Linked DNA regions of Elephas maximus indicus. The protein of the gene in region 2 purifies or fractionates together with the protein of the main gene of each other region. This does not show direct contact. Links are inferred from orthologs where the notes say so. Each region holds a gene or a part of one and is shown on either strand. Other genes may lie near its edges. The genes, in order: CANX and LNPEP.

Region 1 (15,866 bases), about 97 Mb from region 2:
ATGATAAAATTGCACAGAACTAAACACACACACGTGCATGTAAAAAGTGGTGATATCTGAATGGGGTCTGTACCCATGTCGATTTCATGGGTTGACAGTGCACTATAGTTAAGTAAGATGTCACCATGGGGGAAATGCAGAAAGGACTTCTCTGTACTAATTTTGCAACTTCCTGTGAGTGTATAATTACTTCAAAATAAAAAGTTAAAAAAATATGTATTACTGGATCAATGAAGGTATTTCTTTACACTGGATCAAAGCCGTCAGGAAACCAGCTTTAAATTTACCTGGTCCTCCAAAGCACAAAACTATCAAAGGAAGACTCAAAAATGTGAGCTGGACTAGAAATCTGAGCTTGATGAGGTAGTCTCCTTTCCTTCCAGTTAAAAAAGGTTTTGTTTTTAGTAATTAAATTACCTACCTATGCCCAGGTCAGAAAACTTCTACCCTCTGAGATCAAAGATACAAACATGAACAAATGTATACATAGCCAAGTAGGAGCCAGATACGTACCTATTTATGTCACACACAAATGATTTCTGGTTTACTTCCCAATTTCCCAAAGACAAGAGTAAAAGGCCTGGTTCTCAAAATCAAGGTCCAAAGGGATCTTCAGGAGCCTCTGACCCACTCTTAACTTTTAGAAGAGTGGAGTTATCTTGTATTCTAGAGATGGAAGTTTCCAATTTAAAACTGATGACGCAGTAAAATTAATTCCTTACATACGAGGCAGCATAGTGCATGTTCGTGGAATGACCTGTCAAGCCAGACAGATCTGGGTTCCAGACTTCCTCCTGCTCCTCTGTATGGCCTTGGTCAGGCTACTTTAACTTCTAGAAGTATTGATTTCCCAATTTTACAGACATGGGAAATAGCCTAATTGGCTCAAAAGCTGGCCATGAAAATATGATAAAATAATTCAAAGTCTATCAGAGTCTGGTACTTCATAAGCATATGCAAACATGTTATTGTTTGAAACACAATTAGAAAAACCAACGTGAATACATTTTAAATTCTCATACTAGGCCAAAGGATCTAATATGCCTGCTTATTCCTCCAATGTATTTCAACAAAGCTGGATGATTTTACATATCAAGAAAAACTTGCTTTCGTCCAGTTTACATTATACAATTTCTTCTTTAACTCTTCCTCCTATACTTACAACAGTGTATATACAATTTTAACCTTTGGATATGGAAACTTCCATGTTTATTTGCCTTTTTTTTTTTTCCCTTAACATTCTGTTCAGTTACCAATTCTGTTCTCAGCACCCGTTCTAAAAAAAGTCTACATTCTACCACATACATTTAACAACATATACATCAGACTTTCAACTGAAGTCTTTATAATAAAATGTGATAGACATTATATCAAATTTCAGAAATCCAGAAAACTATTTAGATCAACTTTAAGAAAGGGCATACAACTAAATACCAAATTTGTCACTTCTCAAAGGCAGAGAAACTTTATCCTCAATAAATAGTCAGAATAAACAAATGGAGGCTTAAACTATTCTCAGGTCTATTAAACTTTTATATATCCTTTAAAAGTACGTCTAATTTTTTTCCCCAAGAAAGGACTGTCTCTTAATCAGGTTGAGGAAGTTCTCCTCTATTCCTAGCTTGTTGAGTATTTTAATCAAAAAAGGGTTCTGCCTTTTCTCAAATGTTTTTTCTGTATCTATTGAGATGATCACATGGTTTCTGTCCTTTATTAACATGGGATGGTATACTGATTGTCCTATGTTGAATCAACCTTGAATTCTAGGATAAATCCCACTTGGACATGGTGTATAACCCTGGATTCAGTTTGCTAGTATCATATGGAGGATTTTTACACCTACTTTCCTAAGAAATATGGGTCTGTGATTTCCTTTTCTTGTGATGTCTCTGGTTCTGGTACTAGGGCAATACAGTACTGACCAAAGAGAATGAGCAGGAAAGTGTTCCCTCCTCTTTTATTTTTTGGAAGAATTTATGAACGATTGGTGTTAATTCTCCTCTAAATATCTGGTAGAATCTACCAGTGAAGCCACCTGGTCCTGGGCTTTTTTGGAGGGATTTTTGTCTCTTGTAAAAAGTTTGGAAATTGAGTAATTTGTTCCTGCAACATTTTCAACTCTAACTCCTTCAGTCTACGAGAAGTTAGAAAGAGGAACAGAAGAAACAATCCAGTCTAATGCTACTAGACTTTTTTTTAAAAAAGTGATTTTAAAAACAGGTAAAACCCAACCCAGAGCCGTCGAGTTGAATCCGACTTATTTTAAAAATAGGTAGTATGGGATAAAAAGAGGCAGTATTCCCTTCATGTAAACTATCCATTTATCTATTAAAATATCCTTTTAAAATTTTAGGTCTTGTAGGTTTTAGATACCTTAGGAGGTCTAATTTAATCCTGATAGCCACCCTAGGAGTTAAGTACTATCATCCCCATTTTACACACGAGAAATCTAAGGTTGAAAGAAATTATGTAATCTAAGGTCCCAGTTAGAAACATACAGTAGTGTTTATGAGCAGGAACTCAAAAATTATAATCTATACTTGGCCTTTTAATAATTTGTGACCCTCAGTGAATTACTAATCTTTAGGCCTCAGTTTCTTCATGTTTGTAGAAATGGATGTGGCAGTGCTTAGCTTACAGTAAGCGCTCAATATTAGCTGTGATTTTTACCATTACTAGATATTGCCTGTAACATGTTTCATTAAGTTTTAAAGGTTTCGAAACCCTGAGTTTTAAGGCAAATAAGACATGAAGGGAAAGGAACCTTAAAAGGAATGATTCCAGTCACAGATGAACCATCTTACTTTTTGCAACTTCTGATTTTACTATCCTGTGCATCTATCAAAAAATAAACATTTAAGAGGCAATAAAATACAAAGTGGTCTTTATTGTAAATGTTTCTCCATTAAAATAGATCACCTACACTGCCTTGTTTACATTTTTGCATTTTGTTTTTTTCATGGGGAACGTTAGAATTGCTTTTTCCATAGCACTTTCCTTTTCTGGAAGGAGCACTGGTGGTACAGTGGTTAAGCACTCGGCTGCTAACCGAAAGGTTGGTGGTTCGAACCCACCAGCTGCTCTATGAGAGAAAGATGTGGCAGTCTGCTTCCAGTAAGATTACAGCCTTGGAAACCCACTGGGCCAGTTCAACTCTGTCCTACAGAGTCACTATGATTTGGAATCGACTTGACAGCAACGGTTTGTTTTCCTATAAGCTGTGTAGCTTTAAGATGTGAATACTTGAAACATACTGCTGAAGATTCTCTAATTTCTTTAAAAAACAGAATTCTCCTAATAATTTTCACAGCTCAGAGGTAATCTTAATTTAAAAGTACATCTGTTGCACTAGCAAAGTATTCAACCAGCATTTTTCTGACAAAGTTCGACAGTAAACTATATATAGTTTACAACTATGTTTAGGCGTTTTTATTACTTTCTAGAGTTACTATGACCACCAATTCTTCTGTTTGTCTAATTCTATAACTCTTCAAAGTGGTTTTATGCTCATCATCTGCATCTGTCCCTTTCAATAGCCCCGTAATGGTAAGGTATCTGAGGAAACAGCTCATTCCCATTTCAAAGATGTGTAAACCAAGATAGTAAATAAGCTAGTTACAGAGCTGGGCCCAGAAATTATGCTTACCAACTGTCATTTCACCCTCTCAAGCTATCTTGCAGGGCAAAGTGAACCCTAACTTAAAGGTTCAACAGTTTGATCGTCAAAGCTGCAGCAATGACTTCTGTCAAAATGTTTACTCCTTGTGGTCCTTGTAAGAAAACGTGATAGTTGAACTGCTGCATTGTGATAGTAGGGTGGGGGAGGGACAATGACTCCCATTTTCGGAGTTTAGAAAATCTGTTTGTTATGTGACATTCACTCCAATACAAAGCTCACTCTTGCCTTCTCATAATCCAGTTACCTGGCTTGTTATCTTGTGCAAAGGAGAACTCTCACAGCTCTTTACCTCTACTCTTAATATAACTATACCAGATGTAAAAGATGGCCCTCAAACATGGCTGTAGGAAAACTGAGATGCAGAATTATTTAAAGATCAATACAATGATTCCACTTAAAATCTACTTATTAAAAAATTAAGGAAAATCTTCCACTCCCTAAATAAGTTTAACTGTGGTTCACCTTTGCCCTCCCAAGCTTTTAATATTCAGCTCAGTTTAACTTCCCTCAACCAACACTCACTTGTGTCATGCCCAGCAGTTAATTCACAAGGTCCAATTTCTTCCCCCCCATGCCATAAAGGTGACTTCAGATCCTAAGAAACAGGACTTAGCCAACTCAAAGACTAGGATGTCAGTGTAGTAAACCAACAACTTTCAGACTCTTGTCCTATTTTATATACATCTTAATTTAATCCTCAAAACTCCATCACACGACCCCATTCCCTGCCTTCCAGTTGATTCCGACTCAGAGCAACCCTGTAGGACAGAGTAAAACTGCCCCATAAGGTTTTCAAGACTGCAAATCTTTAGGGAAGCAGACTGCCACATCTTTCTCCCACAGAGCAGCTCCTGAGTTTGAACTGCCAACCTTTTGGTTAGCAGCCAAGCTCTTAACCACTGCACCACCAGTGCTCCTCCAAAACTCCATCAGTTATTATATTATTTTTTGAGAACTGGGACACAAAAAAAGCTAAATAAACTGTCCAAGTTCACGTAACTAGCAAATAGTCCAGGAAGGACTTGAAGCAGAGCCCTATATTTAACCACTACAAGGAGACTGCGTAGCCCTCTAATCCCAACCTGATCATCAGACTAATCGTATGACCTTGGGCCGGTCATTTCGTGTTCTGGGCCTCAGTTTCCTCCACCGAAAAACAAGCTGCACTCGGAGTTTTCAGGTCCTTTCCTGCTTTTAATGTCCTGTGAATCTCCGAATGGATTACTTCCCATCCCCAAATAGCTGCTGCAAACTTTTTCAACCAACGCATGTTCTAGTACTTTCCACTTACTCTTCGGGGTTCCAGCGTCTAGTCTTTGCTTTAAGGTCTTATTTTCAAATATCCTGAACCGGTAACGCCAATAGTAAATATTCTCTATTTTTTATTGCTAAGGGTACTGACTAGGCCCGATCCCGCTTCAGACTTTACCCGGTTACTCCAGTCCACCTCGCGGCTTTCCAGGTAGCCAGGAAGAGGCCTAAGAAAGCCCTAGAAGCAGAGCCATACGAAGAATTTAGCTTTCCCAAAGGTCAAGAGAGGACCTAGGGCACCTGCCACGCCTCCCGACCCCCGCGGAGGGGCCTGGGTCTGGCTGCCCAAATGAAGCGGCCCACGTCCAGGCCTCGCTGCTCACGGCCAACGTATGTGCCGGGACCCGGGCCCTTGAAACCCAGCTCAACCCCTCGGCCCTGACCACGCCCGGCCCCTCGGCCGCGGCGCAGCGATCATGGGCCACCTGGGGTCCCCACGGGCCCGGGGGTGCGCACAAACCTCCCTTCTCACCTAGAGCCTCTTGGGGACCGCCGGCGGCTCCCGCGCCTCCTCCCGCCCGCACACCTGACCCCACGCTGCAGTGGAGACAGCGGCGGCGGCTGCCCGACCGTCACGTGCGGCAAAACGAAGAGGCCTCGGCCACCGCTGCTGCCGCCGAGCGAGCCCCACCGCACGAAGCCCGGCCCTGCGTCCGCCCCTCGTTCTTGAGTGGCTGCGAACGAAGGCAAATCCCGCCCCACTGCGCAAGCTTCGAAACTCGGTTGGTCAGTGTGGCCGTCCCTCTATGCCTCTTCCCATACGCCCCCTAGGGCTATTCTTCGTGGAGTGTGGGGACTGGCTGGAAGTAAGGCAGGAAGTGGCTGCTGGTTGGGTGGGAGGTGAGGGGGCCGGCCCCGACGTTATCGGCAACCGAAAGCGCGCGAGTCCTGGGGCGGGATCGGCGGGCCGGCGTTGTCCCGCCCAGTTACCCGGCCGTGTTAGTGGGCACGCTGACGGGTGCTTAAGCCGAATCACTGTGGTGTGGGCACCCGAGCAGCCGGCAGAAAGAGTGGGTGGTCCTGTCGGCCATCAGGAAGGGCCAGCCCCTACGCAGCGAGCGTAGGGCCCCGACCGTGCGCAGCCAGAACCCGGCACGGACGCCTTGGCCCGGCCTAAGTCGACTGCACACACAGCCCTTTCTAACTGGCCCCGGTTCCTGCAGAGTCATTGCTCTGAGCCCTGGATACTGCGGCTGGCTCATTGCCTAACACAAAATGCAATTCAGGATAATATGTATAATCCAAGGTTATATCAAACTTTCAATTTGTCATGTTTTCTGACATAAGGGCAAGCGATACACTGACGACATGCTTGAGAGAAAAGAGTGTTGCAATGGAAACATTTAAAATACACAATTTTTGTAACCGGCTTTTAGCACATCTTCAATTTTAAATGTGCCGAGAACCTCAGAAGATGGAAGCAGCTCGGAGGTTTTTCTAGACTTTGAGAGGTTCCGGTCTCTCCACCGATTGTTGCTCACCCAAAGGCTGAATCCTAGCGTGGAAGAGCTAGAAATAGCGGGTGTATCACGTATCCTGGAAGCCAGCTATATTCCCTCCTGTCACCTGAAAAGGGAAGAGAGAAGTCAGGGCTTGGTGTTTGCATAAATTTTAGTATTCAACTCTCAGCCACCAAATTTGCGAAAGAGGATTTTGTGTTAAGGGCAAAGTAATGTCCTGGATGTCACATAATCCAAACATAGTTTATAATGTAGAGGAACCACTTATATGAGCATAGGCGCTACTTCAGCAAAGGTAAGTGCTAAAAAGAAAAGAAAAGAAAAGATGGTGGTACTAAAGTGAATTTAATGGGATTTGATTACGGAGAAAGTGCATCCATCTAGGATGGACAGGGAAGAGGAAGACTGGAGCTGGACCTGGTATGATATGCAGAGTTTCTAAAGGTATAGAGTGGGAGAAAAGCTTCTTTAGATGAGGAAACAGCATATGCGAAGACAGGAAAACAGGCAATGTGTGTTTGGGGACACTGTGCAAAGTGTTCTGGCTGGAGAAGGATATTAATGAAAGTGAGTAATGGGAGATTAGCACCAGAGTTGGTTTGGGACCAGGCCTTGAAAGACTAGCCAAGGAGTTAATAGATATTTTAGCTTTTAAATTTGGGTCATGATTTAGGTGTCTTGGGAAGCATTCTTTTGATATTATTACCGGGAAATCTAAAAGAGAGACTAGCAACTATGAGGCCAGTTAGGAAGTCACTTCCTGCAGTTAGGGGATAGCAGTGTATATAGAAACAAAAGCATTAAATGTTGATGCCGAAGGATAATCCAGTGGACTCTGGAAAAGAGAAGAACCAATGCCAGTATTGAGATGTTTTGACCTAGAAATGAGGTAAGGTGATACAGCCCCAAAAGAAAGGGGGAACTCGAACTTGCCTGATCCTGAGGAATATGGATCTCGGCCCAAGAAACAACAGGACTGGAGATGTGGATTTTTCAGCCAAAGCATAATGTGCTTCAGTGGAGGAGACCAAGGACAAAACCTTCAAGAATGAGATATTTTCTTGATAATTCAAAAGGTACTCTGAGTGATTAGTAGATTATCTCATTAAAATAAATAATTATATAGTTCTTAGAGGGCAGTTATGGTTCAGTGTTAGAACTCTTGCCTTCCATGAAGGAGACCTGGCCAAAGTACCTCAAGTGCAGCCAGCACTCATCAGTCAGTGGAGGCTTGTGTTTTGCTGTGATGCTAAACAGGTTTTGATGGAGCTCCCAGACTAATATGGACTAGGAGGAAATGCCTGGCAATCTACTTCTGAAAATCAGCCCATGAAAATGCTATGGATCACAACGGCCAAATCCTGTGTGTACGGGGTTGCCTTGAGTTGGAGGCCAACTCAACTGTGGCAAACAACAGAGTTCTTAGTGTGGGACATTGGGCTAAATGTATTCTGACTGACCTTATAACCTGCAAATTGTTTTTCAAAATCAATGCTTTATGAAATATCCATCAACGAATGGATAAACAAAATGTGGTATATATATAGTGGAATATTATGCAGCTGTAAAGAAAAACCAAATTCTGATGCTTGTCACAACAGGGATGAACCCTGAAAACATCATGCTGAGCAAAATAAGTCAGCCGCAAAAGGACAAATACTGTATGATCTCACGTATATGAAATAAGCAAATATACAGAAACCAAAGATTATTATTGGTTAGCAGGGGAAAGGGGGAGTTTTTGGGGAGCACCGGGTTTACGTTACTTAATGATGGTAGAATGTTTTGGATGAAGATAGTGATAATGGTGGCACAACATGAAAAATGTAATCAATGTCATTGAGTTGTAAATGTGGAAGTTGTATTGGCGAATGTTTTGGTGTGTATGTTTTCACCGCAATTTAAAAAGAAAAAAATAAATGCTTTATATCCATTTTAAAATACTCATATCCTTTGGCCCAGCAGTTCTACCCCTGGGAATATATCCATATATCTGTGTGGAATATAGCCACATACTGTACTTGTGTGTAAAGACATCCAGTGAAGTTCATTGCATCATTGTTTTAGTATCAAAATTCTGGAAAAAATCTTAAAAATAGCCTAACTGATATACAGAACTGTTTAAATAAAATACAGACCCTACAATGAATGGCTCTACACCCTTAAAAAGCATGTTGAGCTCTGTTTACAATAGCAAAAAGCTGGAAGCAAACAAGATGTCCATCAACGGACGAATGGGTAAATAAATTGTGGTATATTCACACAATGGAATACTACGCATCGATAAAGAACAGTGACGAATCTCTGAAACACTTCATAACATGGAGGAATCTGGAAGGCATTATGCTGAGCGAAATGAGTCAGTTGCAAAAGGACAAATATTGTATAAGACCACTATTATAAGATCTTGAGAAATAGAAAAAACGGAAAAGAACACATACTTTTGTGGTTACAAAGGGGGGAGGGAGGGAGGGAGGGAGGGAGAGGGCTTTTTATTGATCAATCTGTAGATGGGAACTGCTTTGGGTGAAGGGAAAGACAACACTCAAAACATGGAAGGTCAGCCTAATTGGACAGGATTAAAAGTAAAGAGGTTTCCGAGATAAAATGAAAGCTTCAAAGGATAGCGAAGCAGGGGCTGGGGTCTGGGGAACTTGGTTTGAGAGGACTTCTAAATCAATGGGCAAAACAATTCTATTACGAAAACACTCTGCATCCCACTTTGAATTGTGGCACCTGGGGTCCTAAATGCCAACAAGCAGCCATCTAAAATACATTAATTGGTCTCAACCCACCGGGAGCAAAGGCAAAGGAAGAACACCAAGGTCACACGACAACTAAGAACCCAAGAGACAGAAAGGGCCACTTGAACCAGAGACCTACAATATCCTGAGACCAGAAGAACTAGTTGGTGCCCGGCCACAATCGATGTCTGCCCTGTCAGGGAACACAACAGACAACTCCTGAGGGAGCAGGAGACCAATGGGATGCAGACCCCAAATTCTCATTAAAAGACCACACCTAATGGTATGATTGCGACTAGAGGAATCCCAGAGACAATGCTCCCCAGAACTTCTGATGGCACAGGACAGGAACCATCCCCGAAGACAAATCATCAGGCATGAAAAGGACTGGTTAGTGGGGGGGAGAGAGATACTGATGAAGAGTGAGCTAATTAAATCAGGTGGACACAGGAGAGTGTGTTGGCAACTCTTGACTGGAGGGGGGATGGGAAGATAGAGAGAGAGGGAAGAAGGTAAAATTGGCACGAAACGAGAGACTGTAAGGGCTGACTCAATAGGGGGAGAGCAAGTGGGAGAAGGGAGTAAGATGTATGTAAACCTACATGTGACAGACTGATTGGAATGGTAAATGTTCACTTGAAGCTTAATAAAAAAAAAAAAAAAAAAAAGCATGTTGAGTAGTAGTATTGCCAAGATTTAGTGTTATGTGAAAAAGTACTGAGTAATGTATGCATCGTTCCATGTTGGAGAGGTTATAAATACAATCTTGAACAAACAAGCTTACTGGATACACAAGAAACTCCTGAAAGACTGGTATAAAGAGGGAAGTGGGACTCAAAGTGGGAAGGAGACTTTTTTTTATAACAAATGCAAATATTATTTTTTCAATAAAGAACATTAAACAAATTTCTTTTACGCTTAGTTTCTCAAAAAAGACAATATATATTTAAGACCACTATAAATGAAGTTGTACTGGACACAAGCAATTTGTCCTTCATATCCAGCTTCCTCTTATAGCTTAGCTTGCCCCTATTCACAAGGCCCCAAAGAAAAGCCACACTTGTCCTTGCTCATTCACACCTTCCTTTGCTTGAAGGAGAAAGTGGGGCATGCAGCACCCCACATTTCCATCCAGCTTTTTCTTACTGGTTGGGTAGTAACCACCACTTCTCTGTACCCACACTCATCTGGCACTGTCAACTTAATAGGCAAAGTGCAGTATATTGTTATTTTAATTGAAGTTTCTTGTCTTACAATGAGATTGTTTTTAATGTTCATTAGCCATATTTCTTCACGAATGGTCTATTCACGTAATTTGTCCATTTTTCTATTACAGAGTTTGTCTTTTTCATATTGGTTTTTAAGAAATCTTTATTAGGATATTAGCTATCTACTACACTTATGTTTTTCCAATTTTATTAAGAGCTTTTTAATTTTTTGTGTGTGATTATAAGGAACAAAAATATTTAAACTAACTCAAGAAAAGTATATAGAGACATCAGAATATCCAAGGACAGAAAAAAAAAATTACTATCTCATCTTACATTATCTGGAATTGAGAGTGAGAATGGAGGTTGCTCTTTCTTGTCTTTCAGAGCCACGTGGACCCTGGACGTGTGCTTCAGCCTCCTCTCTCCCTTCATCACCAGCATCCACTCACTACCTTGGCTCAGGGTTAACATGCATGCCAAGCCTTCTTAAATCCTGGCTCTTCAGCTCCAGAAACAATTGGAGTTTTCTGTTTACTCAGGGCTAATATAACCCAAACTCTCCTTCACTTGTTGAAACTCCTCCCAAAACATTGAAACACAGGAAGCAGTCCACCCATTTGGTCCTCAAGCTGAGGTCTCTCACAGCCCTGTCCTCCTGTTCTAGTTGGGATGGGTTGCTTTCTTGGACTGCTTCTCAGCAACTGTCAATGAAGTCCTTGTACCTCCTGCATTTGGATCTCCTGTTTCATCAGTCCCCCACTTTTAGAAATCAATCTTATTGTGCTGTTTCATGATTTTGATAAACATATGCACCATGTAACCACTACCATAATGAAGATAGAGAACATTTCTGTTACCCCAAAAGGCCCCCCTATACGCGTTCCCAGTCGGTCCCCACCAGTGGCCCTAGGAAAAGACTGATCTGCTTTCTGTCACTAAAGATTTGTCTTTTCTAGAGTTTCTTGAAAAAGGAATCACAATAAAGTTTTGTGTCTGGCTTCTTTTGCTCAGCCTAATGTTCTGAGATTCTCATCCTTGTTGTGGCATTTATCAGTGGTTCATTCCTTTTAATTGTTGGGTAGTGTTCTATCGTATGGCTATATCACAATTTATCCATTCACCAGGTGATAGACACTTGGGGTGTTCCTAGTTTTTGGCTATTATGATATAGTATTGCTATGGATATTTGCATACAAGTCTTTATGTAGATAAATGTTTTAATCTTCTCTTCATAACCTGACACCTTACTCTTTTTTGGTTTACAATTGGTAGATACATTTTCCTGTTGCTTCCTAAGAAATATTGCTTGTGAAGTATATATTTTTTTAATCCTGCACATCTAAAAATCTATCATTGACTCTGCAAATCTATCAAAGGCACACACCAAATTGAGAAACAGCTATCCATGAAAAACTATGGAACTTCAAGTAACAATAGTGGGCGTCTGTGGTGTCATTACTTGCGGCTGCTCCTACGCCCCTCTTCAGCTCAGGTTCGTGGCGGTTCTATCAGGGTAGGGAAAACTGCGAAAAGCAGCAGCATGTCTGCCAGAGGGGGCTGAATTGACATGGCATGAAGCACACCAAAACCCAGGCCCAGGAATATAGTCGTTTTCTGCCAGAGCTTCGCCGGACTTGCCTGCCTCTTTTGTTAGCCCTTACAAGTCAAACCCAGATGCAGGCCCTCAAGTCCTGTTCCTGGTTATAATGTGGTTACCCAGAGTAGGTAGAACTTTTTTTTTTTTTTTCTGAAATTAAAACAAAATTTATTGAGGCGGAAAGGCGGAGAGTGCTGACACATTGTGGGGATTGCAACCAATGTCACAAAACGGTTTGTGTATAAATTTTTTAATGAGAAGCTACTTTGCGCTGTAAACTTTCACCTAAAGCACAGTAAGAATTTTAAAAATTAAAAAAAAAATTTTTTTTTTTTCCTGGAGTATTTGCAAATTCCAAAGAATAGCCATAGAACTAATTTTAAGGAACATTAGCTTGGGAGGAATAGCAATCCGTAGACCATGGAAGCCCACCACCACTGCCACCCCTGAGTTCTGTACCTCATCCACTCCTGTCACCACCAAGCCCACAAGAAAGACCCAAGGAGAGGCTAAAGAAGACAAAGCTCTAGTGAAGGATAAACCACAGAGGGATGGGCATCCTTACCTGCTAAACGTGCTGTTCCTTAAAAGGCACCTCATAAGAAAGGGAGAGAATAACAGGCTGCAGAAAATGAAGGTGCCAAGTGAAGTGGGTGTGTTTTTTTGGTAACTGTGGACTTGTGTTCTATACTGTTCGAATTACTATCTCAATCAAGTTTTATACAAGTGCAGAATTTTTACCTTTTTTGTGTGTGTGTGTGTGTGTGTTACCACAGGGACTGTCTCGTTTCAGGAAAAGTTAGTTCAATGGATGTTCTTTGGAATCTGCGTATACAAATGCAAGGGCAGATTATCTCAGAAGCTAGATTGAAATGACCATGGGGGGAAGCAAGAATTTGCTTCCTTGATTTTGGGAGTATTTCTCTTGATTCCCAGGAGGAGGGGACCCGCTGACATTCACATCCACCAGTCACTGAAGAAAAAATTGCTTGGGTGTAGGGAAATGAAAATTCATTTTTAGGTCTTCTTCTCCCTCTCTGCCAAATGTCCTTAAACTCAGAGACCTGTTTGGACCTGGCACTCCCTCCTTCACTGGCACCAAATTTAGTGTTTTCTATAAGGGCATTGAGATAGAGTCCCTCAAACAGGCCAAGAACCATTGCTTTTAGACTGTGGATCTTTAAATTCCGTTTCCATTTAATTTCCTTAAAAGCAGGATCTGCTTGTGAAAAGAGTTAACATGTTAAATGGCAACTGTCCATCATCTCTCTAAACTTTTCCTGTTCAAAGCAACAAATTATGCCTTCTTTGGGTTTTGTGGCTTTTCCTTTTTGGTAATCCATGGATTTGAATGGTGGTGTATACTATTTCTGGTGGTTGCCCGTGATGTGCCTGAAATATTATGACTTAATTAAAATTAGCTTTAATAAAATAGAAATAAGAGAGAAAGAAGAAATTGCTGGCTTGGTTAAAATATTGCCCCCTGGCTCCCCTTCCCCCAACCCTGGGCTCTGATTCCATGCCCATCAGACAACCTTCTGAAGAATGATTTGGGCTCCCAATGTTCTGATGACAGGAAGAGAGGGTTCTGAACAGTGACCATGAGTGTTTATTTGTGGAAATTGACATTCTAATTCTAAAATGTATATGGAAATACAAAGGACCTAGAAAGTCAAAGCAATCTTAAAGAATGTTGCTGGGAGATTCACACTACCATATATCAAGACTAATTGTAAGCTATAATAATGAAAAAAAGTGGTATTGGCGCAAGGACAGATAGACCAGTGGAAGAGAATAAAACCCGTTGCTGTCGAGTCGATTCTGACTCATAGCAACCCTATAAGGCAAAGTAGAATGCCCCAAAGAGTTTTCAAGGAGCGCCTAGTGGATTCGAACTGCTGACCTTTTGGTTAGCAGCTGTAGCGCTTAACCACTACACCACCAGGAATCGAGAGTCCAAAAACAAACCCACACATACAGTCACGTGATGAACAGACACTACCGTAATTAGTGAGGGCAAGGCTAGTATTTTCTTTTTTGCTTTAAGAATTTTTTAATTTTGTTGTTGTTAAGAATATACACAGCAAAACATATACCAATTCAACAGTTCCTACATGCACAATTTAGTGACATTGATTACATTCTTCGAGTTGTGCAACCATTCTCACCCTCACTTTCTGAGTTATTCCTCCCTCATTAACATAAACTCACTGCCCCGTAAGGTTCCTATGTATTCTTTCAAGTTCCTGTTGTCAATTTCATCCCAAATAGATAGTTCTTAAAAGAGCATAATGCTCAAGACAGACTTTTTTTTTTTTTTTTAACTGCTTAAGCTATTGTTCAGTTTTAAGATGATTTGGGGGAATAAGTTTAAGGTTTAAAGATTGTCTCAGGGTTCAATTGCTCTCAACCCACCTGGATCAAAGGAGAATGAAGAACACCAAGGTCACATGATAACTAAGAGCCCAAGAGACAGAAAGGGCCACATGAACCAGAGACCTACATCATCCTGAGACCAGAAGAACTAGATGGTGCCCGGCCACAACCGATGACTCTCCTGACAGGGTGCACAACAGAGAACCCCTGAGGGAGCAGGAGATCAGTGGGATGCAGACCCCAAATTCTCATAAAAAGACCATACTTAATGGTCTGACTGAGACTAGAGGAATCCCGGCAGTCATGGTCCCCAAACCTTCTGTTGGCCCAGGACAGGAACCATTCCCAAAGACAACTCATCAGACATGAAAGGGACTGGACAGTGGTAGGAGAGAGATGCTGATGAAGAGTGAGCTATTTGTATCAGGTGGACACTTGAGACTGTGTTGGCATCTCCTGTCTGGAGGGGGGATGGGAGGATAGAGAGAGTTGGAAGCTGGCAAAATTGTCACGAAAGGAGAGACTGGAAGGGCTGACTCATTAGGGGGAGAGCAAGTGGGCGTACGGAGTAAGGTGTATATAAACTTATATGTGACAGTTTGACTTGATTTGTAAACATTCACTTGAAGCTCAATAAAAGTTAATAATAAAAAAAAAGTAACCTTAGGTATCAAAAAAAAAAAAAAGATTATCTCAGGGCAATAGTTTCGGGGTTCATCCACCCTCCCTGGCTCCAGAAAATCTAGAGTCCACAAGGATTTGAAATTCTATTCTTCATTTTCCCCCTTCTGATCGGGATTCTTCTATAGAATCTTTATCAAAACGTTCACGAATGGTAGCTGAGCACCATCCAGTTCTTCTGGCCTCATGGCAATGGAGGCAGTTGTTCATGGAGGCAATTAGCCACACATTCCGTATCCCCCTTCTATTCCTCAGTTGGTGAATAGAGACCAATTGTTGTGCCTTGGATGGCCGCTTGCAAACTTTTAAGACCCTAGACACTACGCAACGAACTAGGAGGTAGAACAGAAGCACTAAACACAACACGTTACTAGGCCAATTAACTGGGATGCTGCCTGAAACCTCCAAACCTAGGAACTAAATCCCGTGAAGCATTTGGTTGCACATAACCAGCCTCAACAGCTTTTTTTTTTTTGTCACTGTTGTGACCCTAATACTCCCCAGCATGTTTTCTATTTCAGAATAGGCAACTGAGAGCATGACAAAACTAACGCCATGATGAACTTACAAGTTTTTCTCCTTTCTCTGCCTGCCTCCTCCTTTCCATACCTCTGTTAATGAATTGTTTTGACCTAATGTTTTTTTTTTCTTAATGTTAATGACTTTTTTCTTTGTTTTAAGCTGATACAAATAACCTTTTGTTCGTCTGGACTACCTGTGGCTTACAACCCCTACAGGAAAATCAGAGCCCAAGTATCTGATATGTATATTTTTAGCCTAATAAAGAGATGCCTGGCAGGTATCTTT
Region 2 (15,555 bases):
AATTAAATAAAATAAAACCACGTACCAACTGCAAAGCACAGCACTTGAACAAAGCTGGCCATGCTTTAGTGAACGCATGCTTATTTCTATCTAACTCAACACACTATATCATTTAATAATCCCCAAATTAGACTACATCCTCCTGTATACACTGAATTATTTTGTGTGCTTCCTCTAACTGGAGCCCTGGTGGCAGACTGGTTAAGAACTCTGCTTCTAAGCAAAAAGTCGACAGTTCAAATCCACCAGCTGCTCCTTGGAAACCCTATGGAGCAGTTCTACTCATAGTGTCACTATGAGCTAGAATCGACTCAATGGCAACACATTTGGTTTTTTTTGTTTGTCTCCTCCACCTGTAAAGTTACCAAGCCTTTCAGTAGCCTGTTTGCCTGTAGTGATGCTGCTCTTTAAAGAGCAATACATTTCTTATTTCCACAGACTAATACCCAATACACCTACAATCAGTCTGAGTTGTCTTCTTAACCTAGCCACCCAATCTAGACACTGAAATGTCATGTCAATGGCCCCATTGGCTGAGACATTTAGCATTCCAGTTTAAAGAGTACAGAAACTACAGCCAGTAAGTGTAACAAGGGTGGACCAGCCCAAACTCCTAGACGCGATCTTGATAAATCTGGGCATACTTAGCTCCTCCACTAGGTCCCAAGGGCCACAGCAGCCTGCCTTACTTTAACCATTGAGGGCCTTTTCACAATTACGGGACAAAAGGATAGCAGATAAGTATTACATTACTTCTGTCTCCAAATCTTTCTACCAACATCAATTTAAAGAAAAATCTTTTAAATATTTAGCTCTCTTCAATCATGCCCACTAATTTGTATACAGCTTTCCTCAAAACAGGTCCCTGGAATGGTATAATACTGTTGCAATTATTTTAAACTCTTTAAAATAAAAACTTCAGCTGTAAGAAATACTATGGCCTGAAGCATCTTTCCCCACCAGAAAATTCCTTAATGACACCTGGGAAACTACCACATACCCAGATCATAATTTGCTATGTGACCCAGGAAGGTAAGGGGCAAACCTAAACCACAGAGATACCACTTCTCTCACTGTACTGCCCCATACTCCTGTTCCCCCAGCTTAAGAAGCTTTCATCACAGAAACATCAGGAAGCCTTCTTTAACTTCCTTTACCCAGATCATGGTTTGGCCTTCCCAACAGCACCAAAAACTAGAGAAGACTTTGGACCACCCCGTTCTAGAGAGGTTTAGACAGTTGGCTCAAGTTTTGTTTCCGTGACTGCATTTATGAGATATGTGGGAGGAATGTCCAGGATGACCTTCATCAAGCAGTACACACTAGAAGGAAAAGAACTTCAAAGGGTCTCCTACAATCAAACTTAATTCTCCATTGTTTTTTAAGCTCCTTTGGAAGCCTGAGTTTTCTTTATTTGGCAAATGAACTAGTTTTCTCCTTATTTAGATGCTAAGGTTAGAATTAAAAACAAAACAAAATCTTAATTGGCTCATTGTTCAGCCAAAAACATCCATAGAAAATTAAAGCAAAACAAAGCAATACAGAACAGTGACTTTTACCAGGATGGCTGCACAAAGCAGATGGCTCTATATTTCTTTTTGTTTTTTTCTCCTGAAATCTACATTCAGAAAAATGAACAGTCCTAACATTACAAATGACTATGAATTTTCTGATGATGAAAGAAGATAGTACGATTAAAACCCTAGCAATGACTCTAACTCATTCATTCCCTCACCCTCCAAATCCTTTTGTCCAACCAGACCAACCTTCCAACTCCCCCTCCAGCCCTGACTCTAACTTTCAACCAAATACAACAGTATCCTGTGCCCCAACCTAGGCCTGAGGTCCTCATTTCTGAGCCAAAGACTTGCAAGGTTTAAGGTATAATCTGAAATTCTGTGCCTATGAGCTTCCCCCCTTAGCCCCAAATCTTCACTTTTTTTTCATCTTCACCACCAATTTTCCTTTTAAATTCCACTGTAGCAGAATTCGTCTTCTCCCAGAATAATCCCAAATGGATTATGACAATGGATCACGTTTTATGAGGAAGCCTGACCACCCTTTCAGGGACACGGACTACTCTTACTCACATTTACTGCCCAGAAACACCAGAGCAGTAAGCAGCCTTCTCTACAAACACCATTATGAATTCAAGACGCTGTACCACTACAAAGGCTCCAAAACTTCCCTCCATTTCCATTCCTGGTTTCTTGTGAACTCTCAGAAAAGCTGCATATCTAGGGATTAAATTAAAAAAAAAAAAAAAAAAAGACTGCCTTTCTCTGGCTGCCCCAACTTCTGGAGCAACCTTGGCCAAACTCCTCCATATCTCAATTTTTTTTTAATGCTTTTACAGAGTGGGTTAAAACGTTGTTTTTTCCTAATAAGATCATACTAAATCAGTAGAGATGTGGGTTCAGTGGTTGCAGATGCTATACGAACAGGTTATAAAAATAATTCTATACATTTTCTTCATGATTAGAATAATGTCCTAGACACCATTTTACTGCTTCTTTACTTCTTCTACATTTCTATATTTTTATATTAGCGTGAAAACCAAAGTAGGTTCTTCTGATCCATTTCTCTTATTAGGTTAACACTACTGATGACAGGTTTGTGGTTTTTTTGTAACTGTGGCTAGGCAGAAATCTACCTGTTAAGTGGTCATTCAAAAAATGGTGTTTGACTAAATTATTGAGCAAGAAATCACCCCTTGCTTAACCTTAGTATATAATATAATTTCCTTATGATCAAACTTTCCAGTTCTATATCTTTCAGGCTGAGTTCTCAGGGATCATCTACAGATAAGTGATAATCAATGGTCTCAAGACAGTCTTTTTTGGAAGTTGATAACAGCAAAGAACTTTCCAGTTAAAAACTGGATTGGTTTCTACCTACAGCCTCAACCTTAGACTGTTAATGATGTTAACAGTAGGCTTTATCGCTGCTTACACTCAATTCCTATATAGTCTAACTCCCCCTAGGTGAAATAAAAAACTCTACAGAAGGATAAAAACAGAATTTCTATTTCATCACACAGAGAAACAACGATCTTCCATTTCTTAAAGGTTTTCTCTCAACGTGGTAAAATATAACATAAGAAAAAATACATAAACAAAAATGTGTTAAGGTCACATTTTTGACAGATGATGATGCTAAAAATTTTTAAGAAATGCATACCTATATGACAACTTACTTGTAAGACAAAACGATGAAATCAGAATTTTATACTGCCTTACAAACCATGAATATCTAAATTCTTGTCCAGACTTCCATTTTGGAAGTTGGGAAATGCTTTTAACTGCATACCAATCTGAAAACAAAAATAATTCTGTGAGACTGGGACGTCCCTCTTGTTACAGTATGCATCGGGCTATGATACTAACATGATTCCTGGGGGCTGTGCTCATTTGAAAAAATGACAAACTGTTTAAATTATGTTTTTAGTTCTAGGACTTCAAAATACCAATGTTTTTCTAACCTCTGGATTAGACAGCTAAAAAGTATAGGGAAAAAATACATACTAGCAGAAAAAGAAGTCCTTTTCTATCGCTTTTTTCCCAAATCCTGAATTTGCTTACCTGATCAACTTCCCAAAAGCTCCTTTCTGGTGAATACTCGTAGCATCCTCAACATGTACTGCGGATTCCCAGGCCCAACCTCAGCTCTACTAAATTAGATTCTGCGGGTGAGCCCTGGCATCCGTATTCCTTAACATGAACCTAAATTATTCTGAAATATCCCAGCCCTGCATGCAAATAAGAACAAAGTTAGACATCAAATTACTTGCCCTAATCCAGTACCTTTATCGAAAGACCCAGGGCGTTGCCATCAAATCTTTTATAATATGAAAATGACTACTTAATAGTTTCATCTCCACCTGCTTACGAGGATACACATCACTGCCAAACCTCTCATGAGCACTGGTCAGCATACTTCTCTCCCCATTAAAAAAAAAGGCACCAAAGATCCAAAACAAGACAGGATGTCACATCTTCAGAACAGCAGTCAGCAATCCCTCCCAAGGGCAAGGCCAAAAATATCCCCCGAGCCAAATTCCTGGCATAATGTCCTTCTTTTTAGCCCTTTCTGGAGATGTGCATTTTAAATGGGTTGCAGCAGTAGTTACCTTGGACAGGTGTTCATCAAATAAACTCACTATCAGCAGACAGAGAAGGGCCTGTGAAAAATGGGCCACACCAGGAGCAAGTTTTGACAGAACACAGGAAAAGTGCAGAAAGTCCTACTGGAACAGGTGAATGTTGAAGGCAGGAATGACAAGAAAAAAACTAAATCTGCCTCCTTTACGAATGTGCAGGCCAGAGGGTAAAGCCACTGACTAGATTTTAACTGAAAGATACGTGCTCCTGAATTACGGAAACTTTCTTCATTAAGCTCCAACATATCTCTTAAAGAAATATATGAGAAAGTCTAAGTATGTGGTGAAGGTTTTATTATAAGATAATGAATGTATAACCTAAGCCAATACCAAGCCTGAAAAATCCTGTAATTATAAATTGTATGAATAATGAAATACTCTGCACCAGAACACCCAGACCTATAAAAGAATTACATGTACATATCCTCTGTATTCAAAAGGATTATGTACAAGATAAACATACTTTCCACTACACCATATCATGTCTGAAGACCTTAGAAAATTCTATAGCTATGACTTCAAAGGTTATGAAATACTCAGTCCACCTTAAACCTAAAAAGTACCTCAGATCACTAACATCTAATTTCTTACTGACTTTAGATGTTGTAGTTTCTATTCTTCTTGTTAAAGGACTCTAGATAAGACACCAAGTAGTGATTAGTACATTAACTAAGATGATACACTGCCAAAGTGTCTCCAGCATGGACTGAAAATCTGAAAGACATGTAAGAAAGGATCAGAAATCCAATTTCCTATATGGAAGTTGAAGCATTGCTTCTTTTTTGTTCTCTCTGGAATTTTTCCACCACCCTAGGACAGAGCAGAACTGCCCCAAAGAGTTTCCAAGGAACGCCTGGTAGATTCGAACTGCTGATCTTTTGGTTAGCAGCCACAGCACTTAACCACTATGCCACCTGCGTTTCTGTCCCAAATGTAAAAATTTTGAAAATGTTAACATCTAAAGAAGCATATTCTATGGGATGAGAAATTTAAGACTTGAGAATGTATTTCAATGCTACAGGGGCAGGTTCACCAAATCAAATAGCCCTAATCTTGACTCAGCCTTTTACTTACATGAAATCTCACACTGAAAATCCTACAGATACAGAGGCTCCAAGCATTCTACCTCAAAGAAAGAATAAACCTATAGAAGAAAAAGCTCTGGACTATTCATTTCAAAGACTTAACTACTTGCATTAAGCATATTTTACACTAAAGTCCCTAAGGTTCCTTTCCGCTGAAATCGTCCTTAATTCTCTGAGTAACTGTACCAGACTATCCTTAGAACTTGAGTAATTAAAAACAGAATCTGAATGAGCAAGAGAATTCAAAATTAAAGTTATCCTCATTAAGTCTAATTAAACAGTACAGACAGAAAAATGGAAGCAGAATAAAGCATTCTGAATTAGGGACAGGGAGAATATAATGAATAGTTTGCATACTCAATTGACCTCAAGAAGGAAGCACAAAATTCAATGCAAGCTGGAGTTTGGGATATAGCTGAAAATATTTGTCTCTCAGGTAGGAACTGGCCCACCCAAACGGAAGCAAAACTTCGGCTTCTACCCCAATGCCGTCGGGTCGATTTCGACTCATAGCGACCCTACAGGACAGAGTAGAACTGCCCCACAGTTTCCAAAGAGCGCCGGGTGGAGTCGAACTGCCAACCTTTTGGTTAGCAGCCGTATCACTTAACCACTACGCCACCAGTGTTTCCTTTGGCTTCTATTAACGCTATAATCCAACTATCTGAAGTAACCGACCAACTGCAGGAAAACACCTGTCAATAATAAGGTGAATTTCCAAATTTTCAAGTGAATTCTCCCTTGCTGGCAGTTTTTCTACTTTCTATCCTAAAAGGAAATTCATTTACTCAACTCCGCGAAATGGTTACATATCTCACCCCCCTATCTTGTGACTCCAGCACTTCCAGTCCAAACAAAAGCCCTCGTTTTTATTCTCGCCACCAGTAAAGGGCTGTAGCTGTTTGCAGGGCATCCCGCAGGCACCTACGTAAACTCTCGCCTCAAACAATATCGTGGTATCACCGTGACGGACACTTGATATTTAATTAGTCCTCGACTGAAACTGATATCATCGGGAGCCGGTGAAAAGAAGCTTGAACGCCCTGCGGAGAGCCTCGGCGACAGGAGGATGGCAGTGCGGACTGGCACCTCCTCGGCATGGGACACGGGTGAGCAAGCCTTTCCGCAAGTTTCCCTTCCTTTCACTAAATTAATCTACTAAGCCTCTCATCCCCACCCCGCCCTATTAGGAGAAGTCACGCCGGCCACTCGCTGAAGGACAGGGAGACAGCTCCCGGCGCACTAGGGAAGTTGGCTTTGGCAGGGGCCGCGGCTTAACCCTTGCTGCCCAAGAGCCAGGATCGACACCGCCCTCGCCGAGGGCAAAACCGGCTGCCAACTTTCCCGCTGTCCCCTCCTCTGCGCACAGCACCCCAAACTTTGCCGTTCGTCCGCCAGCCCACCCGGCCGCACCCGAGCGCCCCCCCCACTCCCGGCCGGCGGAGGAGCTGACCTTCAAAGATAGCCCCCGGCCATGTGCGACCACTGCCCGACCGCCGAGTCTCCAGGCACCTCCCACAGTCCCCCTCCGCCGCCCCCAACCCTCGCGCGAAATTGGTGGTGGGGGCGACTGCAGCCCGACCCCGCGTATCCCGGTTACCCACGACCCTCTGGGCCAGAGCGAGCCCCCGCCCTGGCGCCTCGGGCCGCTCACTCACCATTGGTAAAGGGCTCCATTTTCCCCCCACCGCGGCTCCTTGCACCTGGAGCGCCCAAGCTTCCTACTCTGCGAGCTGAGGCGGCCCTGCCGACTGAGCATGCCCAGCGCGGCCGCCGAGGGCTGCCGGGGAGGTGCCGCGAGGGGCAGCGCCGCTCCACGAAACCTCCACTCCGGGTTTTCGCGGCGGCTGCAGAAAAAGACAGTGAGGCTTGAGGCAAAAGCGCGGCTCACGCTGGGGCCGACTTCGGGGAAAGGCGGGGGAGGAGAAGGTTAGAGCTGGGGCGGGGGCGGGGCCGGGGCAGGGCCGAGACTAGACCCGCCCCTGCCAGAAGGACCAGCGACTCTGCTCTCTCCACTAACAAGAAGTGTGTTGAGTCGCTCAACAAATGTCAGGTCCTACTGCGTCTGGCCCGGTCCAATGTGCCGGGAATCCAGCATTGCGCCGGAAAAACATGGTCCCTGCCCCGTGGAGCGTACGTTCCAGAGAGAGACAATAAACAAGCCCAGGTGACTAGTTAGACTGGAGTAAACCCCCCCGCAGAACATTAAATCAGGGTGGTGGGCTGGAGAGTGAAATTAAATCAGGGTGGTGGGCTGGAGAGTGAGGGAGTGGCTAATTCGGAAGGCGTCATGAGGAGCGGTCACGCTGAGGGGGTGCCTTGAAGCCGAGATAAGAAGAGACAGCGGGAGTCAGCGGGCGGGAATCGCTCTCTAGACGGCTAAGCTTCTGTTTCCTTGGGGAGATTGGCCCCGGAGAACTCAGTTCTCCAAGGCCCGAAAGAGCAGGCGCCACGAGTCTCGGAAGGGCTGCCCGCCTGCGGCAGAGCGACCCCAAAGGGCCGGTCCTCAGGGGACTGAAGTGGGGGGAAGCCCCATCGGCCCGGGTGCGCCCGGGTTGCCGTACTCCGCTGGAGGCTCGGGGCGTGGCCTCCCGATGCTGTCGGATCACAAAACACGGGGCGGATCGACCGGCCTGGGGCCGCGCGTGCCGCAGGATATGGGTCGGCCAGGGGACCTTAAATCAACACCTGCGGCTCCCGGGGAGTGCGGACGCTGGGGCCAGCCGCGGGGCGCTAGGCCCGGGGAGCCGACACTCCTGTAGTCGCCCGAGGCCCCCGGCACTCGCGCCATGGCTTCCAGCCCTGAGCCACCATTGTTTCCAGTTTCAAATCAAGGAAGCCCCGGCAAGCCTCTGAGACAGAACCGTTAGGGGCCGCGTTGCCCCGGGGCAGGCTCAGCTGGGCGGCTTCCTCGTCCCTTGCTCCGTCTGTGCTTCGCTGCTACCCTCGAGGCGGAGGCCGCCGCCTTCTTCCCCTCCCTCCTCCCATATCCCCGGCCCTTGCAGCGACTTGTCTCCGCTGCGCCGGTCTGCGCCTGCCTACTGTCACACGCTCCTCCGAGGCTGTCAACAGGAGGGCGTTGGATGCGAACAAGACAGCAGGGTGCGCACGGCCTGGGCAAACAGGCACGACCTGGGCGTCGTTTGACCCGCACAGGAGTTAGAAATTAGATTTCAAAGAAATAAAATTGTGGTACATAGCGGGTTGTTTTTGTAGTGCGCAGCGTTTTTGCAATATTGTATTTTTAAATGTACTACCCCCTCTCCAAAACCTCCGCTTACGCATGGAATAAAATCTGAACTCTTTGCATAACTCTGGAACTGCATCTCCTACTCTTGCTCCCCGTGCTCTTATTACAGGCCTTTGTGCCTCATGCCTTTTCTGAAAATCGCCAAGTTCCTTCCAGCATCGTTAACCACTCCTCTTGCATGTGCCTCGTGCGTGAACTGTGCCTTCTGCCTGCTACTTGGCCTGCTAGTTCCGTCTTGCTATTTACGTCTCAGCTCAAGCTCAAATGTCACCTCTACACAGAGCCCTTCCCTGACCATGCAATCTAAAATAACCACAAACACAGTCCACTCTATATAGATTTGCCCTGCTTTATTTTCTTCATAGCACCCATGGCTGTCAAACAATGTTTTTTATTTGTTAAATTATTATTTATCTCCCCCTCAGGAATGCAAGTTCTATGAGAGCAGAGTCATTACCTTTTTTAGGGCTGTACCCCAGTACCTAGATAAGCATGCAATAAATAAGTGTTGAATGAATAAGTGAATGGGTACAGTGGTATTTAGAGTTCAAGTTCACTTCCAATGCCGAGAAAGTCTCAGTGTTGAATGATGTGTTTGTGATTAGTACAGAGAAAGTGTCTGCGTGGTATGATACCTCAAAACTGCTCTCTCCCCACTGCATTAAAGATAGTAAGAGCCCTTTAGGCTGGCTCCCTGCAGGGCACTTCAGAGCGAAAAACAGAAAGTGAACCACCAGGGCTGGGGCATCTGTGTTCCTATATGATATAGTATATGCAGATCTGGGTTTTGTTAAAATGACCCAACAGATTCTATTGCTTAGATAAGAGGCTCTTTACATTTTAGGTCATCTTCCTTTGGGGTTATTTTTGCAGCCAAATCGCTTAGTATCAGAGATATTTAAAACTCCACAGCTTGTTGACTCACCTCACCTGTAAGCTACAGTCTGTCATGCTTTTAAGTGTGAAGCACGTTGTCTTGTTTTGTCTTACATGCCTCAACTCTGCAGAGACTTGTGATAAATATTTTTGCACTAGCAAGTAAGTAAATCATGTCTTTTTGAGATTTCTTTGACAAAGAGACAAATAATTTCTTTATCCTTTCTTTGTCAACCTTGTCCTCATTCCTCTGCCATTCCTACACCTGTGTGCCTGAGCACATACCCACATATTAAGGGCTATCTAAAGACTTGCGGTTTTGTATTAGAGATAAAAAGAATAAAAACCGAAGTCATTCAGAATCCTAGCTACCCTCAAAAGAACAAAAATGAATTTCATTCCTTTCATTTGTTTGTTTTTTGATACCATTTTACATTTGACTTCATAAAGCCTTTTTGAGGGAACATGATTTCACAAATTTGCTGCTAAAACACATTATGTTTCTATCTTAATCTCCTCCTATCCTCCCACACAGAATTTCCTCTTTAGTTGAAGCATCTAACACTTTAAATTATTATGACGTTACTACTAATTACCAGAGGAGATAGTGTGAATTATCTACTATACCCATCTACTATTTTCAGAATCAGTCTACTGTTTAAAATTTGAAAACCAAAATTTTGGAAGGCTAATTGTAATATATAATAAATAGTATGAAAGGAAACTTATGAGCACCCTGGATAACAAACAGCATTCATTTATGAAGAACGAGCAAACTTGCTAATCAATGAATGTAGGAACCTTTCCATCAAAATAAGGCACTTGGTTTGTCACAGATCAGCTAATCCAAACCTCATATTTAAGAGATGAGGGAACTGAAGTCTAGAGAAGTTAGGAGATTTACTCACGGCCCAGCAGCAGGTATGGAATTCAGGTCATCTGTATTCTAAGCCAGTGCTCTGGAGTTTGCTGTTGTTCCTTATTCCCACAGCGAAATTAGGGCCAATGACAATAATTCATGAAAGAGATATGGGGTAAAGAGAAATACAGCTAACTTCAGGCTACTATTCCATTCCATATCAACTTTGGTTTAGCATTATTACATCTTCTAACTATTCTGAAATAAGCAATAAAATACATTAATTCCATGCATACTTTTGAAAATGATAATATTTGTTCAGCACTCATGAGTAAATGGAGAATGCTTCAACCAGGCCCAGGGTGACCACTGTGATGTTTCCAGATACCCCAGACCTTACTTAGCCACTGCAAACACCAAAGGAGTCAATAATCTCATTGCCTCAGCAACCTGTTCTGAGTGCACACGCTTTGCGTAAATTAATAATATTTAAAGTTATACCAAATTAAGAACTATTTAGAGCGCTAAGGAAAACAAAATAAGTATCCAACATTCTTACAGAGCCTAGGAATAAGCAAAAAGCTCAGGCAAGTAAAGTGAATAGGTTATTATCAGGAAGGAAACCCTGGTGGTGTGGTGGTTAAATGCTATGGCTGCTAACTGAAAGGTCAGCAGTTTGAATCCACCGGCTGCTCTGTGGAAACTCTATGGGGCAGTTCTACTCTGTACTATAGGGTCACTATGAATTGGAATTGACTCGACGGCCGCTGGATTGATTTGGTTTGGTTTTAGTTCAGATGCTTTGTATTACAAAACCAAAACCCTAAATCAAACTAGTTTAAACAATATATGTGTATTATGTCACACAATAGCAAATCCAGAGATAAGGCAATCTCCAGTCGCAGCTCCACAATCTCATCAAGAGCCCAACTTTTCACGCTCTCTGCAGTGATGCTCAGTGTGAACACTTCTCCAAAACACCAAAGATGGCTGCAACAGGGGAGGAAGACAGAAGCTACTCTTCGGTGTCTTTCTGAAGAGCAAGGGAACTTTTCTCAGAAATCCCCCATTACGATTCTTCTTAAATCTCATTTGCCAAAACTGTATTCCATACATTTCTAAACCAACCACTGGAAATAAAAGTGATTTACTTCTTAGACAAAGCAGAGTTTCCAAATGCTGAGGTTAGGCTCACCTCCCTTGTTTCAGGTGGGGGCAGAAGAGTACTTAAAGTCATTTTTCTTATTCGGAAGGCAAAAGGGGACTTAACAACCAAAATGTTAGGTAGGTAATCTAAATATCCATGAAAAATTATAAACACATGTATTATTTTTGTTGTGGTAAAAAGATATATAACTAAACATTTACCATTTCAATTTTTTTCATTTCCATGTTTTTTACATGTACAACTCAGTGACATTAATTACATTCATCATGTTGTGCAACCATCACCACTAATGATAATTTAAATGATAATTAAAAAAAATACCTCGTACAGCAAAAACAAAGCTAGAGCCCACTAAATTGAATATAATTTTCAAATAATTGATTAATATAGCTAGGATTCTAACCCAAGAAACTGTATATCGTTAAATCTTGAATTTTGATCCAAAAGTAACTACTAAAATTGAAAAAAAAAAAAAGCAAACTTTAGTCTTGGGCGTTTTTCTAATAAAATAAAGTTAAAAATAAGTATCAAGAAAAATTTTGTTTCAAAGGATACGGTCAAGAAAGTGAAAGGGCAAAACATAGAATGGGAGAAAATATGTATCACACATCTGATAAGGGACTTATAACTAGAGTATATAAAGAACTCATACTACTCAATAATAAAGAGACGAACAACCCAATTAAAAAGTGGGCAAAGGATCTGAATAGACATTTCTCCAAAGATATACAAATAGCCAAAAAACACGTGAAAAACGCTCAACATCATTAGCCATCAGGGAAATGCAAATCAAAACCACAATGCGATACTTTTACACATACACTGGGAAACAAAATAAATGTCAGATGTGGAGAAATTAGAACCCACATACACTGCTGGTAGGAATGTAAAATGGTACAGCAGCTTTGGAAAACAGTCTGGCAGTTCCTGAAAAGGTTAAATATACAGTTACTGTACCCAACCCAACCCATAGCCGTTGATGACCCAACTCAGAATCATAGCAAGCCTACAGGACAGAGTAAATCTTTACGGAAGCAGACTGCCACATCTTTCTCTCTTGGAGCAGCTGGTGGGTTCCAGCCACCGACCTTTAGGTTAGCAGCCAAGCACTTAACCACTGTGTCACCAGCGCTGCTTAGCGTTACCGTGTGATCCAGCAATTCCCCTCCTAGGTATATATCCAAAAGAAATGGAAACGTATACCCAGAATAAAATTTGTACATAAGTATTTATAGCAGCATCATTCATAAGAGCCAAAAAAAGTGGAAACAATCCAAATGTCCATCAACTGACGAATGGATAAATGTAAGGTGATACGTACATATAATGGAATATTATTTGGCAACAAAAAGGAATGAGATATTGATGGATGCTACAACATGGTGAACCTTGAAAACATCATGGTAATCATAGAAGCCAGTCACAAAAGAACACATATTGTATGATTCCATGTGTCACAGGTAGGCATGTCTGCTAGACATTGAAATGTCCAGAATAGGCAAGACTAAACCCATTGCTGTGGAGGCTGGTGGATTCCAACTGCTGACCTTTTGTTTAGCTTTTAGCCACTGTGTCACCAGGCAAGCCTAGAGAAACTGAAAGTACATTAATTGTTGCCTCAGGCTAGGGTGGAGCCCTTGTGGCGCAGTGGTTAAGTGATAAGGCTGTTAACCAAAAGGTCAAGCAGTTCAAATCCACCAGCTGCCCCTTTGATACCCTATGGGGCAGTTCTATTCTGTCCTTTACAGTCAATATGGGTTGGAATCCACAGGACAACAGGTTTTGTTTTGTTTTGGTTTGGTTTGGTTTTAGGGCTGAGGTAGAGGGTTAGAGGGAGAAAGGGGAGTGATCACTAATGGGTATGGGGTTTATTGTTGAGGTGATGAAACCTTCCTAAAATCGATTTTGGTAATGGTTGCACAACTCTGTGAATATACTAAAAACCATTCAACTGTACACTTTAAATGGGTGAATTACACGATATGTGAATTGTTGTTGTTGTTAGGTGTCGTCAAGTTGGTTCTGACTCACAACGACCGTATGCACAACAGAACAAAACACTGCCCAGTCTTGCACCATCCTCACAACTGTTACTATGCTTGAGCCCACTGTTGCAGCCACTGTGTCAATCTGACTCTTTGAAGGTCTTCCCCTTTTTTCATCGATCCTCTATTTTACCAACCATGATGTCCTTCTCCAGGGACTGATCCCTCCTGATAATATGTCCAAAGTATGTGAGACATAGTCTCGCCAACCTTTCTTCCTTGCTTCTGAGGAGCATTCTGGCTGTACTTCCTCCAAGACAGACTTGTTCATTCTTTTGGTAGTTCATGGTATATTCAATATTCTTCACCAATGCCACAATTCAAAGGCATCAATTCTTCTTCCATCTTCCTTATTCATTGTCCAGCCTTTGCATGCATATGAGGCAATTTAAAACACCATGGCTTGGGTCTGGTGTACTTTAGTCCTCAGGATGACATCTTTGCATTTCAACACTTCAAAGAGGTGTTTTGCAGCCTATTTGCCCAATACAATGCGTCTTTTGATTTCTTGACTGCTGCTTCCATGGGTGTTAATTGTGGATCCAAGTAGAATGAAATCCTTTACAACCTCAATCTTTTCTAGGTTTATCATGATGCTGCTTATTGTTCGAGCTGTGAGGATTTTTGTTTTCTTTGTGTTGAGGTGCAATCCATACTGAAGGCAGTGTTCTTCGATTTTCATTAGTAAGTGCGTCAAGCCCTCTTCACTTTCAGCAAGCAAGGTTGTGTCATCTGCATAATGAAGGTTGTGAATGAGTCTTCCTCCAATCCTGGTGCCCCGTTCTTCTTCATATAGTCCAGTTTCTCCGATTATTTGCTCAGCATTCAGATTGAATAGGTATGGTGAAAGGATATAACCCTGATGCACACGTTTGCTGACTTTACACTGTGCAGTATTCTCTTGTTCTGTTCAAATGACTGCCTCTTGATCCATGTACAGGTTCCTCATGAGCACAATTAAGTGTTCTAGATTCCCATTCTCCGCAATGTTATCCGTAATTTGTTATGATCCCCACAGCCGAATGCTTTTGCATAGTCAATAAAACACAGGTAAACATCCTTCTGGTATTCTCTGCTTTCAGCCAGGGTCCATCTGACATCAGCAATGATATCCCTGGTTCCACATCCTCTTCTGAAACCAGCCTGAATTTCTGGAATTTCCCTGTCGATATACTGCTGCAGCCGTTTTTGAATGCTCTTCAGCAAAATTTTGCTTGCATGTGATATTAATGATATTGTTCAATAAGTTCTGCATTTGGTTGGATCATATGTATAGGTAAATATGGATCTTTTCCAATTGGATGGCCAAATTTCTTGGCATAGACAAGGAAGCACTTCCAACACTGCATGTTTGTTGAAACATCTCAATTAGTGTTCTGTCAATTCCCGGAGCCTTTTTTGCCAATGCCTTCAGCGCAGCTTGGACTTCTTCCTTCAGCACCATCAGATCCTGATAATATGTTACCTCCTGAAAAGGTCGAAGGTCAACCAATTCTTTTTGATATGGTGACTCTGTGTATTCCTTCCATCTTCTTTTGATGCTGCCTGTATCAAAATTGTATATGAAAATTTATATATATTATATATAATATATATAATTTATTGAGAATTATATCTCAATAAAGGTGTTTTATACATACATAAATATGTATGTATATGCATATTTAAATGTAAATTTTTGACATTATGGACTTAGAATGCAAATGATATTTCATAAGAATATTCTTCTTTGTCCATTGTTTAAATAAGTTTGTTTTTCAGTCTAATGGTAGCTGGCTGCTACCATTAAAAGTTACCAAAAAGAAAACCAAACCCGCTCCCATGAGTCAATTCTGACTCATAGCAACCCTATAAGACAGGGTACAATTGCCCCATAGAGTTTCCAAGGCTGTAAATATTTATGGAAGCAGATTGCCACATTTTTCTCCCACTGCTAACCAAAAGGTGGACTGGTGGATTTGAACCACTGACTTTTCTGTTAGCAGCTGGCCATTTTAACCATTGTGTCACAGGGGCTCTTAAAAAGGTACCGAGTCATTCAGTTAAACACTGATCCACTTAGAAACACAGAAATGCTGTAGAAAATTCCGTAGGCACAGATATATCTTTTCTG

What was found.
Region 1: the proteins of LNPEP (region 2) and CANX purify together in Homo sapiens (affinity purification with mass spectrometry; 3 studies listed by BioGRID and IntAct, with this or other methods). This does not show direct contact. The link is inferred for Elephas maximus indicus from reciprocal best matches to the Homo sapiens genes LNPEP and CANX.

The regions. Positions count from the first base shown.
Region 1 is NC_064820.1:201,838,220-201,854,085, reverse strand, and holds the start of CANX (calnexin), read right to left. Parts: upstream 5,640-15,866; 5' UTR 5,463-5,639; intron 1-5,462. UniProt on the Homo sapiens protein: Calcium-binding protein that interacts with newly synthesized monoglucosylated glycoproteins in the endoplasmic reticulum. It may act in assisting protein assembly and/or in the retention within the ER of unassembled protein subunits.
Region 2 is NC_064820.1:104,517,913-104,533,467, reverse strand, and holds the start of LNPEP (leucyl-cystinyl aminopeptidase), read right to left. Parts: upstream 7,086-15,555; 5' UTR 6,922-7,085; coding exon 6,903-6,921; intron 1-6,902. UniProt on the Homo sapiens protein: Release of an N-terminal amino acid, cleaves before cysteine, leucine as well as other amino acids. Degrades peptide hormones such as oxytocin, vasopressin and angiotensin III, and plays a role in maintaining homeostasis during pregnancy.